Tribolium castaneum: one gene and its partners. The main gene of each other region encodes a partner of the protein of the gene in region 3 in a complex. Links are inferred from orthologs where the notes say so. Each region holds a gene or a part of one and is shown on either strand. Other genes may lie near its edges.

Evidence for each region.
Region 1: the proteins of TBC1D23 (region 3) and protein FAM91A1 are in contact, whole or in part, in a crystal structure (PDB 8JJ9), measured with the Homo sapiens proteins. The link is inferred for Tribolium castaneum from reciprocal best matches to the Homo sapiens genes TBC1D23 and FAM91A1. Residues at the interface, in NP_001186127.1 of Homo sapiens: Arg533, His534, Val535, Ser536, Ser537, Asp539, Val541, Gly542, Lys543, Pro544, Tyr545, Arg546, Val548, Pro550, Val551, Phe552; in NP_659400.3 of Homo sapiens: Arg49, Glu60, Arg61, Tyr64, Asp84, Ile85, Lys88, Gly89, Leu90, Arg91, Ile92, Thr93, Phe95, Ser96, Ile159, Pro161, Tyr176, Ile177, Thr178, Glu179, Asp181, Ile182, Lys190, Asp194, Ile197, Asp198, Tyr216, Asn217, Lys218, Gly219.
Region 2: the proteins of TBC1D23 (region 3) and Syx16 are in contact, whole or in part, in a crystal structure (PDB 8QQF), measured with the Homo sapiens proteins. The link is inferred for Tribolium castaneum from reciprocal best matches to the Homo sapiens genes TBC1D23 and STX16. Residues at the interface, in NP_001186127.1 of Homo sapiens: Leu638, Asn639, Ser640, Val641, Val642, Lys643, Ile644, Thr645, Ser646, Lys647, Lys648, Ser661, Ser662, Ala663, Ile666, Thr683, Lys687, Ile690, Met691; in NP_001001433.1 of Homo sapiens: Asp209, Asp210, Asn211, Thr212, Leu213, Tyr214, His215, Arg216, Phe218, Thr219, Glu220.

What each region holds. Positions count from the first base shown.
Region 1 is NC_087400.1:99,371-103,787, forward strand, and holds the start of protein FAM91A1, read left to right. Parts: upstream 1-1,571; 5' UTR 1,572-1,639; coding exon 1,640-1,711; intron 1,712-1,755; coding exon 1,756-1,840; intron 1,841-1,890; coding exon 1,891-2,100; intron 2,101-2,154; coding exon 2,155-2,339; intron 2,340-2,388; coding exon 2,389-2,489; intron 2,490-2,536; coding exon 2,537-2,851; intron 2,852-2,903; coding exon 2,904-3,057; intron 3,058-3,167; coding exon 3,168-3,439; intron 3,440-3,487; coding exon 3,488-3,651; intron 3,652-3,697; coding exon 3,698-4,398; intron 4,399-4,417. Other genes in the region: Nle (notchless), read right to left, coding at 1-1,336. UniProt on the Homo sapiens protein: As component of the WDR11 complex acts together with TBC1D23 to facilitate the golgin-mediated capture of vesicles generated using AP-1.
Region 2 is NC_087396.1:11,855,691-11,858,701, reverse strand, and holds Syx16 (syntaxin-16), read right to left. Parts: upstream 1,767-3,011; 5' UTR 1,713-1,766; coding exon 1,632-1,712; intron 1,586-1,631; coding exon 1,282-1,585; intron 1,236-1,281; coding exon 685-1,235; 3' UTR 618-684; downstream 1-617. Other genes in the region: vih (ubiquitin-conjugating enzyme E2 C), read left to right, coding at 1-22, 75-495; XK-related protein 6, read left to right, coding at 2,248-2,848, 2,896-3,011. UniProt on the Homo sapiens protein: SNARE involved in vesicular transport from the late endosomes to the trans-Golgi network.
Region 3 is NC_087402.1:71,357-75,675, forward strand, and holds TBC1D23 (TBC1 domain family member 23), read left to right. Parts: upstream 1-1,510; 5' UTR 1,511-1,640; coding exon 1,641-1,669; intron 1,670-1,762; coding exon of another isoform or gene 1,763-1,779; coding exon 1,780-1,888; intron 1,889-1,945; coding exon 1,946-3,817; 3' UTR 3,818-3,933; downstream 3,934-4,319. Other genes in the region: CCT4 (T-complex protein 1 subunit delta), read right to left, coding at 4,025-4,042. UniProt on the Homo sapiens protein: Putative Rab GTPase-activating protein which plays a role in vesicular trafficking. Involved in endosome-to-Golgi trafficking.

The DNA of each region.
Region 1 (4,417 bases), on a different chromosome or scaffold from region 3:
CATAGACCTCATCCCCATGACCTGGCAGATCAATTTCCAATTTCTTCTCCCTCAAATTCCACAATTTGAGTGTTGAATCGGCACTTCCACTCACTAAAAGTCTAGAATCGGCCGAAAACGAAATCACATAAACAGCCTGTACGTGCCCCCTTAACGTACAAATAAATTTACCACTTTTGGCCTCCCATAATTTAATACTCTTATCAAACGAAGCCGAGGCAAAAATGCGACCATCTGGTGAAAATTTCACATCGTTAACTAATTGTTGGTGCCCCGTGAGCCGATTTAACGGCTTCTTGTCTTTTGAGGGGGCCCACAAAAACAAAGTGAAATCATCGGAGCCCGAGACGAGTCTTTCATCACCGATAGGGTTAACGATTTCGTTGTAACGACGCAGGACGAAGTCTTGTGATTGGATTTGGGTGTCTTTGACTGGGTCAAACGCCCCCAATTTGAGGATATAATCAGTGTTGAGGGCCAAAGTGTTGACCCAATGACCGTGCCCTTCTAACGTACGACACAACACACCGTCTTTAGCCCTCCAAACTTTAACAGTCCGGTCCTGCGAAGCCGTATAAAGGAGCCCCAGACCGCCCCACTTGACCACAGTCACACTTTTCAAATGCCCAGAAATAACCCTAGTACAAGAACACAGGACCGTATCCCAAATCCTGACGTCACAATCTTTACTCGCCGAGGCTAGAAAGCGACACTCGGCGTTTTGGTGGTAGGGTTCCCAACTCAGGGCCGTGACCCATGATTTATGCCCAATTAGAGTTTTACCAATCTGGGCCCCATTTTCGGGGTTCCATACCACCACCTTGCCGTCTTTACACGCCGAAGCTAGTTTACGCCCATTGGGGGCCCACGCAATGCACAACACCCAGTTCGTGTGCCCTTTACATGTCTTAAAAGGTGTCTGGGTGTCCACGTCCCAGAACCGAACGGTTGTATCGCCAGAACCACTCGCTAGGTGTCTACCATCGGGGGAAAAACTCACGGAAATGACAGCTTCGGCATGGCCTGGCATTGAACTTGTACATCTTGTCACGGGACGCACTCGGAACACGGCTTGTTGCTGGTAGAGGATGTCGATGACGGTTTCGGTGTTCAAGTCCGACAAGTTTAAGGTTTTTTCGAGCGAATGTGTGATTTCGGTGTCGTTGGCGTAAAAAATGTACGAATTTGTGGTTTCGAGGAGAGCATTGCAAATTTCAGTCAACTGGGACACAGTACAAGACAAGGGCAAGTCGATGATGTCGCCGGTGATTTCGCCTGAATCGGACTTGAAGCGACACAGGACGTGTTTTTGGGACAATTCGCCCCCCAATTCCATGATTATTAGCACTTTTTACAAACTGGTCCAACCCCACTTTTTGCACATGCCAGTGTCAAAAAGTGTGTGGTTAGAGACACTTGTTGGTAGCCCTGCCAGCTCACACTTTTTCTTGATTAAACAACGCAAAAAAATTAATTAAGCAGCATTACATTAATTTATTTAAAAAAAAAACACGCTTTCTTGCCCAATTCATGCCAAAATCGCGTAAAAACAGCAAAACTGTGCAATTGTGACACCTGTCATTACTGACTGTCACTTGTCAAATGGGTTTATCAACAACAAATTAACCCATTTACCAGCATGAATGCCGAAATCGAGGAAAATATCCGTAAAAACGTGCCATGGTCTCAACTCCCCGCACATATCAAACAGGTAGTTTGGTTTTTAGTTGCGACAAATGACCCCCCGTTTTCCAGATTTTAAACAATTCGGTCAAAGACTACGAACGCTACGTGGTCTCGTTCAGTATTAAAAACCAGTTGCGCTATCGCGGAAATTTAGGTGAGTGTCTTTGGGGTGTGTGTGAGCCCCCTTGATTGTCTTTGTTCCAGTACGACACATCGTCCGAGATGAGAAACGTTACTACGAACGTGTGGTGGCTTACAGTAAAGAGAGACTCATGTTATTCCCCTACCACTTGGCCGATATGATTGTCAAAGGTTTGCGGATAACGCCGTTCAATTACTACATTTCAGTGGTTGAGAAATTGATGCAAGCTGAGAAAAGTTACGATACTCTTCCGAACTTTACGGCAGCAGATTGTACTTCCCGCGAATTTATTTTGGGGCGTGTTTCCCTCATTTGGTGTTTTTCAGGTTTGAGGTTATTGGGGATTGGCAGAAATGAATACATCGAATTGATGAATAAGTCGAGGTCGAATAGAGGGCGCTTGTTTGGGAAAAAAAATGTAAGGGGGCTCCTACCACCCGTCCCCAAAGACATACACATTGAGCCGTGGTGGAGGGTCGAAGTTGGCCTTGTATTGGAAGAAGACGTCAAAGTTTGTCACTTTTAATAATTACACATTCAGTAATTTAATTTTTTTACAGTTGGTGAATGAGGAAGAGTTGGCGGTGATTGACCGTTTAATTGATTTGGGGTCACAAACTGCGGGCGAATTAAACTATCATGTTGTTTTGAGTCTTTACAAGTAATTCCCCCTTTACGTAAAACAATGTCACCAACTGTTAATTCCAGGAAAGGTTTGATTTATTTGGACGTTCCTATAACCGCAGTTGATTGTATACAAGTGCCGCCTTTGCAAGGTTTTGTAATGAATCGTGTCCTTGGTGATTATTTTGAAACACTGTTGTATAAAATATTCGTGTCAATTGACGAACATACGACAGTTGGCGAACTTGCCGGGGTTTTACAGGTGGATACTGAGTCGGTAAAACAGGCAGTTTCACTCTATTGTCGCTTACAATTTGCACGAAAATTGCATCCCGAAACTGACAAAGAACGTGTCAAAAGACACCCAACGTGGCATTTAATACCAACACAAGAAATTAGGTACTTATTTTTCACTAAATTGCAAATGATTCTATGATTGTATGATTTGAAGAAACGTTGAAGTGACACCACTGACCTTGAGTCTCAGTGATAATCTCCAAGAGCAACCCGAAAGTCCTTCGACCTTGACCCGAAAGGGGCATCGAGTGGCTTTTCTCTTCGATTCGGCCTTGACTGCTTTCCTAATGATGGGAAATTTATCACCGGTAGGTAAAGTTTTCACTGTCAAAAGAGACACTCTCACCAACCGTTACGTCAAAAAACTACAAAAACCGGATTAAATAAAACTAAATTTGAGGTAGGTTGTGACTTTTAGGGCTTAAAAAAACACGCCGTGACCATGTTTGAAGTTGGTAAATTGTGCGACGAAAGTCTTGATAGTTTTTTAACCGAACTTGAGAAAGTATCAGTTCTTGATGCTGAAGGTGAAGGTGAAGCGCGACGTTTCTTCGATCATGCTGTCATTCTCAGATCCACGATTTTGGCTTTGAGAAAACTCCCCGGCTCTGGTTTGGATTTGGTACGACTTGAAAGTCTCCATTCATTAGACGAGGCTACTTGTAGCCGACTTTTACAGAAAAAATACAAGTAATTTTTTCGTGGTATTTCGTACATATTTTAGGGATTTTTTTCCAGTTTGTTGGTATCAATGGCACCGTTAAGCCGGGAAGTACGGCCAGTTGTGAGTCTAAATCCGCCTCATTTAGGGCCAGCAGTCCCCGAAGTGAATTCGTTGTGGTTTAAAATGTTTTTGTATCACGTGAGCGGTTATGGACCGCCATCTTTGTTACTAACCAAAGGTGAGGGGGATTTTTTTGTTTCTGGTAACACTATTTTTGTCCCTAGGAACTGAAATCAAGCAACTTCCGCGTATGTTCCTCGGGTATTCCCGGCTTTTGGTAACCACGTGGTTACACGAACCGGCGGTTATAACCGTTTCGAATATTTTACATGTGAATGCGGCTGCGCAATTTTCCCCCGTATTGATTCAGGCTTTTGGGGTTCATGAACCGGCTCAGACTCACATAATTCCGTTTCCCTTTCGTCCCGACACACCTTCCAAAAGTTTAGGGGAAGTCCCTCAAGACTTACAATTCCGGAATCATCCCTCAGTTAAATATCTCTCGAATTTAATTGACCTTGAACACAATTGTGGTTACATCACGTTTGCCAACATTGGAGTATTAGATTTCGGCTGTCAAAATAAAGAAATGACAGTCAAACTTGGCAAAAAACAACCAATCGCGTCCACCAAAGGCAAGGCCGAGCCTTTATCAATCACCAATGAGAATTTTAGTTTCACTAAAGAGTTGAGTTCACCCGACGAATCACATTTTGCCATAACTCCGCCCACTTCGTCATCACCAGCCAATGGTTTCACAAGTAAGGAATGTTCGGAACTCCTACGTCAAGAATTGGACGAATTAGAACAAAAGATGAAACACAGCGTTTCAATTGATGGTCTTCTATCACCAATCGACGAAAACATCAACATGTTTTCGCTAAAAAGCGAAGAAATGAAAAAACCCGACGAAAATCGAGGCGAGGTTGGTATTTTTTTTATGT
Region 2 (3,011 bases), on a different chromosome or scaffold from region 3:
ATAATCACGCAGTGACAAAAAGGTGGGCAAAAAGTGAGTCTAAATTGGGGTGCTAATCTTTGTTCGATTTGCAGATTGCACAAAGAGCTTATGACTTTGATGATGTCCGAAGACAAGAGCATCTCGGCGTTTCCCGAGGGCGACAACCTGTTCAAGTGGGTAGGTACCATAATGGGGCCCAAAGACACGGTTTATGAGAGTTTAAAATATAAACTAAGTTTACAATTCCCGAACTCGTACCCCTACGCGGCCCCCGTAGTAAAATTCATCACGCCTTGCTTTCACCCCAACGTCGACACCAGTGGGAACATCTGCTTAGATATTTTAAAAGAGAAGTGGTCGGCGCTTTATGACGTTAGAACAATTTTGTTATCAATTCAGGCCTTGTTAGGGGAACCAAACACGAGGAGTCCGCTGAACACGACGGCCGCCGACAAGTGGAAGAAAAAAGAAGAGTACAAAAAGCTGGTGTTAGAGTCGTACAAGGAAGTCTAAATTTGATCTCGCATTAGAAAAATTTCAGTTATTTAAGATGTCATTGTGTAATAATAGACTGCGTACATATTTGTGTTATATAATTTTTACTATTTCTCGTGTGTTATGATTGAATAAAACGATCAAGTTTCAATAATTTATTTACATAAATAAATATTTGGCTTAGCGAATAAAAATACGTTATCACGACTAGGATTTCACGATAATCAAGGTAAAAAATAAAATAATTGTGGTTACAGCCAATACAAGGATCGCGCACATCTTGCGGTTTTTCCGCTGATAAGCGTCTGCCTTTTGCAGCTGTTTGAAGCCTTCGTAGACCTGGATCTGCGTCTGTTCCACGTTGTAGTCAATTCTGTCCAGAACTGTCCCCTGGTCGGCGACCATCTGACTGAGATCTTTGAAAATTTCGTTCAAGTCAACAATGGACTTAACAATTGCGTTCACTTCTTGCTCCCGCTCTTGCGCGAACCGCGTGTTTTCCTCCTCCAGCAACAGCAGTTGTTGCTGGCTCATCTGCTTGGAATTAACGAAGTAGGTATCAATGTCATCCGCCTCCCTGTTGTACAAATCCTCGTCTTCGAGTTGGTTATCAAAGTAGATTTTTGCGCGGTCTTCCCGCGACTGAATTTGCCTCAAATAATTATTCTGTGTTGACCTAAACATTGTGGACAATTCCTGGAGCGCACTTGCCAGCGAGTGATAAACATTGATCGTCAATCTTTGTTCTTTCATTGGCCCTGAAATAACAAACTCAAACACACGACGCACTAATCAAATTATCACCTTCGGAAGAGTGGCTTTTAATAATCTGCACTAATCTGTGCGTTTCGTTGAACATCCGCGTTATTTCTTGCGTGCAATTCTCTATGGCGATTTCGTCGGTGGGGCTTTCGTCGAAAGTAGGCCTGTTCAGGAGGCGCGAATGCAGCATTTTCAGTTCGTTAATCTTAGCTTTGAGTTTGGGCAAAATCATTTGTGCCTTCTCCAAATAGTCGATCCACATGGGGGGCATCCTGTTGTCGTTGCGGTCCCCCAGGCCCTCCTCCATGTCGTTGAGGGACACCAGGTGCATCCGCTCCGAATTGTCCTGCACATTTTGCTCAAAAGTCGGTGTGTTTAACCGTGCTAATTACCTGGTCGGGGTATATGTGGCGGCTGCGGACCGCATTATTCCGCATCAGTAAAAAAACATCAGTCAGACTTCGGGACGCCATCGAATCGTTTGCAAAACCACCGATTAGGATAAAAACATATTTTGCGGTGTGATAAGTTATCACCACCTGTCAAATCACATCTGTTACGTTTGTGAGGTTATATCACGCTGTTTATAACAATGGGTAAATAAATAAATTAAGAGGGAATTTCGAAGCAATGTTGCGATACGACTCAGGTGGAGGGTCAGTGTGTGGTTGTGTAACACGTGCGTAATTAGATAAATTTAATTGCGATTGTGTACTGACGTTAGAAAAATTACGTCAGGGGATAAATTCCCTAATGGCTAGAAAAATGGTTTGACGTTTGGTTTTCAATTTTTCGCATGTTATTCAAGAATGAGGGGTTAAAGGACAACGTGATGATTCATCTGCGTCCAAACAATGGATTATAAAATTTGGCTAATTGGTACGTATGCCAAAAATCTAATATTTTCACAGTGATAACCTCAGTCAATATTAGCTTTCCAATGAACAAGTAGCTCAACCACCAGTGTGATGTTCAATGCCTCGAAGAAGAGTTATTCAATCGTGAATAATGACAATAATTTATCAAACGAAGATGTACTCCCCCACGACCGACGTAGTGGACCAACTGCCCTCAGTGGACCGAGTGACCAACTGGGACATTGCTGGCTTTGTCATATCTATAATAAGCCACATTCTGGACGTGATTTTCGACTGTAACATTGCCTACCGATATTACGTCCACCAACAATTCGCCTATTTCTTCACCACTCTGGGGTTCATACTCGTCCCAGCCTTTGTAAATACTGTCTTCAGTATCAGGATGTACATGCTAGATAAAGATAGTGATAGGAGCGCAACTCTGACTGATAAATTTACCAAAAGGAGATTATGCTGTTTCGCTGTGTTGATATTTCAATTAGCGCCAGTCTTGCGATACTTTGATGCCTTGCAATACGCCATCAAATCAAAGAAAGCCGAAAAGAACAAGGACCAGGAGAATCAGCGGAAGTACTACGAACTTATGGTCAAAGAAGACTCGGATGTCGCCCTGTTGAGGGTCCTTGAGTGCTTCCTTGAAGCGGCCCCCCAACAAATCTTACAACTCGCAATTATTTTCAGTACAAATAGCAACGATCAGGACAGCTTAGACAACAGTGATACTTTTACCTGTAAGTTGATAATTTGCACAAATGATAAAACAATCACTCGTTTCTAGTGGTCCATCAATTGTTATCAATTGGTAGTTCGTTTGTTAGTATGGCGTGGTCAATGGCCTCTTATCAGAGACTGTTACGTGTCTCTCTCAAAAACAAAAACAACATCTCATGGCCA
Region 3 (4,319 bases):
CAATTTTTTTGCTAAAATTTCCTGGGTAATACTTACCTTCAAAGAGGTGAAAAAAAAATTTTTTTTAAACTCACTCCAGTAAATTTTTATGGACTTCTACATGTCTTAACAACCCAAAAAAGTTGTTTTTAGTCCACAAAAAGTCCATATGTTCGATTTTTAGAAGTTTGATTTTTCAATTTTCGTCGCAGTTTTTGTCGATTTTGGGTACCCGGAACTTTTGTCAAGCAATAGCTCCGGAACTATCAGAGATAACCCCATGAAGTGTATTATCGTTGGAAAGCTCTTTAAATTATCTATCTTTTTCAAAAAAAAATATTGTTCTCCGACTAATAGTTTTCGAGCAAATTGGAGACAAATGCAAAAATTGGGAAAATTTTTAAAAATTCATAACTAAAAAACCATTGGGAATTTGGCAATTTTCTCGATGCCAATCGATTCCCCGGATCATTTTGCATAGGATTTTACGTTCTCCAACTTTGTTTTAAAAAAAAAAGAAAATTGCAGATAAAAGCAAAATTAGACTCAAGAATTTGAGTATGACATGATGTGGAGACAACCTCCACATCTTCCACCTTGAAAACATATTCTAACATCTGTCTTTGGTGCTCTACTCTGCATGTCGAGTCACATGCCACTGCAATTTTTGGAATTCCAAATTCTTTTACTCTATCCTTCAGCTTCAGGAGAGCATCGTATGTTCTCGGAAATGAACCAGTTGCCTTCTCCATCTCTTCAGCAGCTATTACAAACATATAGCTAGCTATCTTCTGGAGTTTCGCTCACTGCGTTGAGTCCCAGCGCAACTGTTGGCTTAATGGTTACTACCATGGCATTTATAGGGTTCTCTCCTTTTAGCACATTTTGTCTGTACCGTGGGCACCGCTGACTAAGTAATCGCAGCAGTGCCCCCTCCTCTTTTTGCTCCCTCGATCTAATAATCACCGGAGCAACTTCCTCTACTTGTGCAAAGGGGCTAATTGCCATTACCTTTACTTTCTCGTAGTGAGAATCTTCCCACTTACAGTCCATCAGGGTTCTAAAATCGCTGAATATCCTTGTCTTCTTTCGAAGAGGTCCGGAAGGAGACTCAGATAAATCTGTCGGAGTGGCGGCTTGTAATCCTGAAGTCACCATTTCCATAGCCCCAAAACACTTTGTTTATATTTTTATTGATTTATCTCCGTTCATCTTCTCATTGTTTTATTTTTGGCGGTCCTTTTAAATAAAACACAAATACAACATAACGTTTATTCAAGAAATCCTTTTAATTAACATATTGTTTGGAAAATATGCTACCCATATTTCTAATACCAAACAAATATTGAATCCAAAATTTTTGTAACACTGTAAAGAAAGAAAGGAATTATGTGTTAAACTAAATAAAGGGCTAAAAAACCCCACCAAAACTTTCAATTTTTGCTCCATGTCACTACAAAAAAAATCAAATGCGCTTTTGCAAAATTCTAAGAACTGCTGAAATGGGATATAAATTTTAAAATATCCGCCATACTTAAAACTTTCTGGTACCCATGGCTGCCAATCCCTCTTATCATCTGCTGTTTTGAATGTCACTTTTTGACACGTTGATGTGGTATTTTCCTCTTTTTCGTCGCTTATTTTTTCTTTAATATGTGAAAATGGCAAGTGTTGATGACGACAACGGATGGTAAGTTTTCAAGCATAATAAAGTTGCCTCAATTTTTTGTTGTTGTAAAACGAAACCAAGTCTCGCCTGTGCAGTGTCATTTATTTACTTTAGTTATTATTTTATTATAGGGTGGCTGATTTAGAAAGCGCTTTACTGGAAGAATGTTCAGTTGCTGATATTTACTGTATTTGCAAAGGCAAACCTTTACCTGACAATTTACGAGCTGAAGTCTGGCAGGTTAGCAACATACCAATCATTTTGCTCGTCATAAATAATGTGTCGTATTTTTTTTAGATATGTCTCGACGTAAGAGACAAGGGGAACCAACTCGATCACTTTAACGAAATCTATGATTTGCCTAATCAATCTGTGCTACGAGAAGACTGTCGAAATTTCGTTTCAAAACTCGGCAATGACGAAGAGGATAAATTATCCGTTGTATCCGATTTAGAATCGATTTTAACATTTTATTGCAAAAGTCGCAACTTGACTTATATTAAAAACAACGGCTGGATTGAGCTTCTGCTCCCTTTGCTAACACTGAAAGTGAATCGTTCAACCACTTACAACCTGTTTGAGGCAATTAGAGACACTTACGTGCCTCAAAATTGTCACACAAATGACGGCAACGCTTTCCATATTTTGCGTCTTTTATTGCTCTATCACGATCCAGAATTGTGTTCATTTCTTGACACTAAACGTATCACACCTGATAAATATTGTCTGACATGGTTCCAGTCACTTTTCGCAGCCACTTGTAATTTACAAGTCGTCATAAACATGTGGGACTATTATTTTCAACAGTCTGACCCGTTTTTCATTTTTTTCCTCTCGTTAATCATGGTAATAAACGCACGCGAGCAAATCATTTCAATGAAAAGCGAATCTCGAGATGTAATTATTTCGAATTTGACGAACATGCCGTGTGCTCTTGAGGCTGAAGACGTTGGTGATTTTTGTTCCTTGGCCCAATATTATGCCCTTAAAACACCCGTTAGTTTTCGGACCGATTTAATGCAAAACTTGTATAATGGCACAAATGATGCTGTAGTCTCTCAAGCGTTATGTCTCCCAGTTTCCGTAAGCGAACTAGTTGAAAATACGTCCAATGAGAGTGGAAATATAGACGCTGTAAGATTTTTCCTAGTTGATTGTCGACCTGTGGAACAGTACAATGCCGGTCATTTACCTACAGCTTTTCACTTGGACTGTAACTTAATGCTTCAAGAACCAAGTGCTTTTAATACTGCTGTTCAAGGCTTACTTTCGGCGCAAAAACAAGCTCTGGCACATAATTCTACAGCAGGTGGTGAACATTTGTGTTTTTTGGGATCAGGTCGTAACGAAGAAGATCAATACACTCATATGGTTGTGGCTTCTTTCCTACAGAAGCACACTCAATACGTTTCACTTCTAACAGGAGGTTATTGTGCTCTTCATCATTACTTTTCGGATGATTTAGAGTTTTTACAAGATCATAATCCCAAACTTTGCATTGTGTGTGGCCCAATGCAACAACAACAACAACAACAGCAAGGTCAAGTCAAGGGACAATCGACCGATTTGTTTGGGAAAATTTCAGCAGCAATGAAATCGAAATCGGCCGAAGTTAAAGAAAAACTTATCGATTATATCGTTAATCCCAACAATAGTCCCGTGCAAGAGAGACATGTTAGCAGTAGCGACAAAATCGGGAAAAGGTACCGAAATGTGGCACCTGTTTTTAGTATAGATGATGATCATGAAAATGCTACCACCAATAACATGGAAGATGCAACTAATGAAGAATGTCGCGAATTGGTACAAATACAATCATGGTTGAAACATCCCGAAGTTATTGAACATTTTCCGTGTCAGGAGGTGAAAATCAATGGTTTTATGTACAAAAGTCACTTGATTGTGACTAACAGTGAGCTTATAGTACTTAGAGAAATGCCCGATAGGAAAGGTGGCATTGCTGAAGTTATTGTAAAACGCCCCCTGTCGGCGATTGTTAAAATAACAGCGAGGAAACGTCATCCTGAACTTATCACTTTCAAGTATGGCGTGCCAGATGGTGAGAATTTAATTATATCTGACATGGATCGATTTCTTATACCCAATGCCGATAAAGCTACAAAAGTTGTATCTGAACAGATTTTAAAGCAGTTGAAGAATAAGGAGTAATTTGGAAATTTAAATAGAGTTACACATATTTATTGTTACTGTAGATATTTTATTATAGGAAAAAAAACTTTAACCATTTGTTTATTCTTATCTAAATAAAACAATGCTTAAACGAATCCACAATATTGTTATTTTTGTAATAATACTAATTTTGTTACAAATGATCGTACTTAACAAAAAAATTAAATGAAGCAATTTAGAAAAGATCTATGTCATCGTGTTCACCTGGAAAAGACAAAACATTGTTTAAAATTTTGTACTTATGGTAGGTAGGACTATACTGGGCACATTATCCAGTTAAAAAAAAATAAACAAAATAGCCTTTTTTACAATTAACAGATTCGTTTCATTTTACCGGTGGTCAAGTAACAAGTTTTATATTTTTTTATTTATTAAAGCCCTCAACTTCGTTTCGGTCTTCAATATTAAAACTTCACGCTATAAAATTATTATACAATTATTATTACTTTTCTTTAAAATCTTATTTCAAATTTTGCGTCAG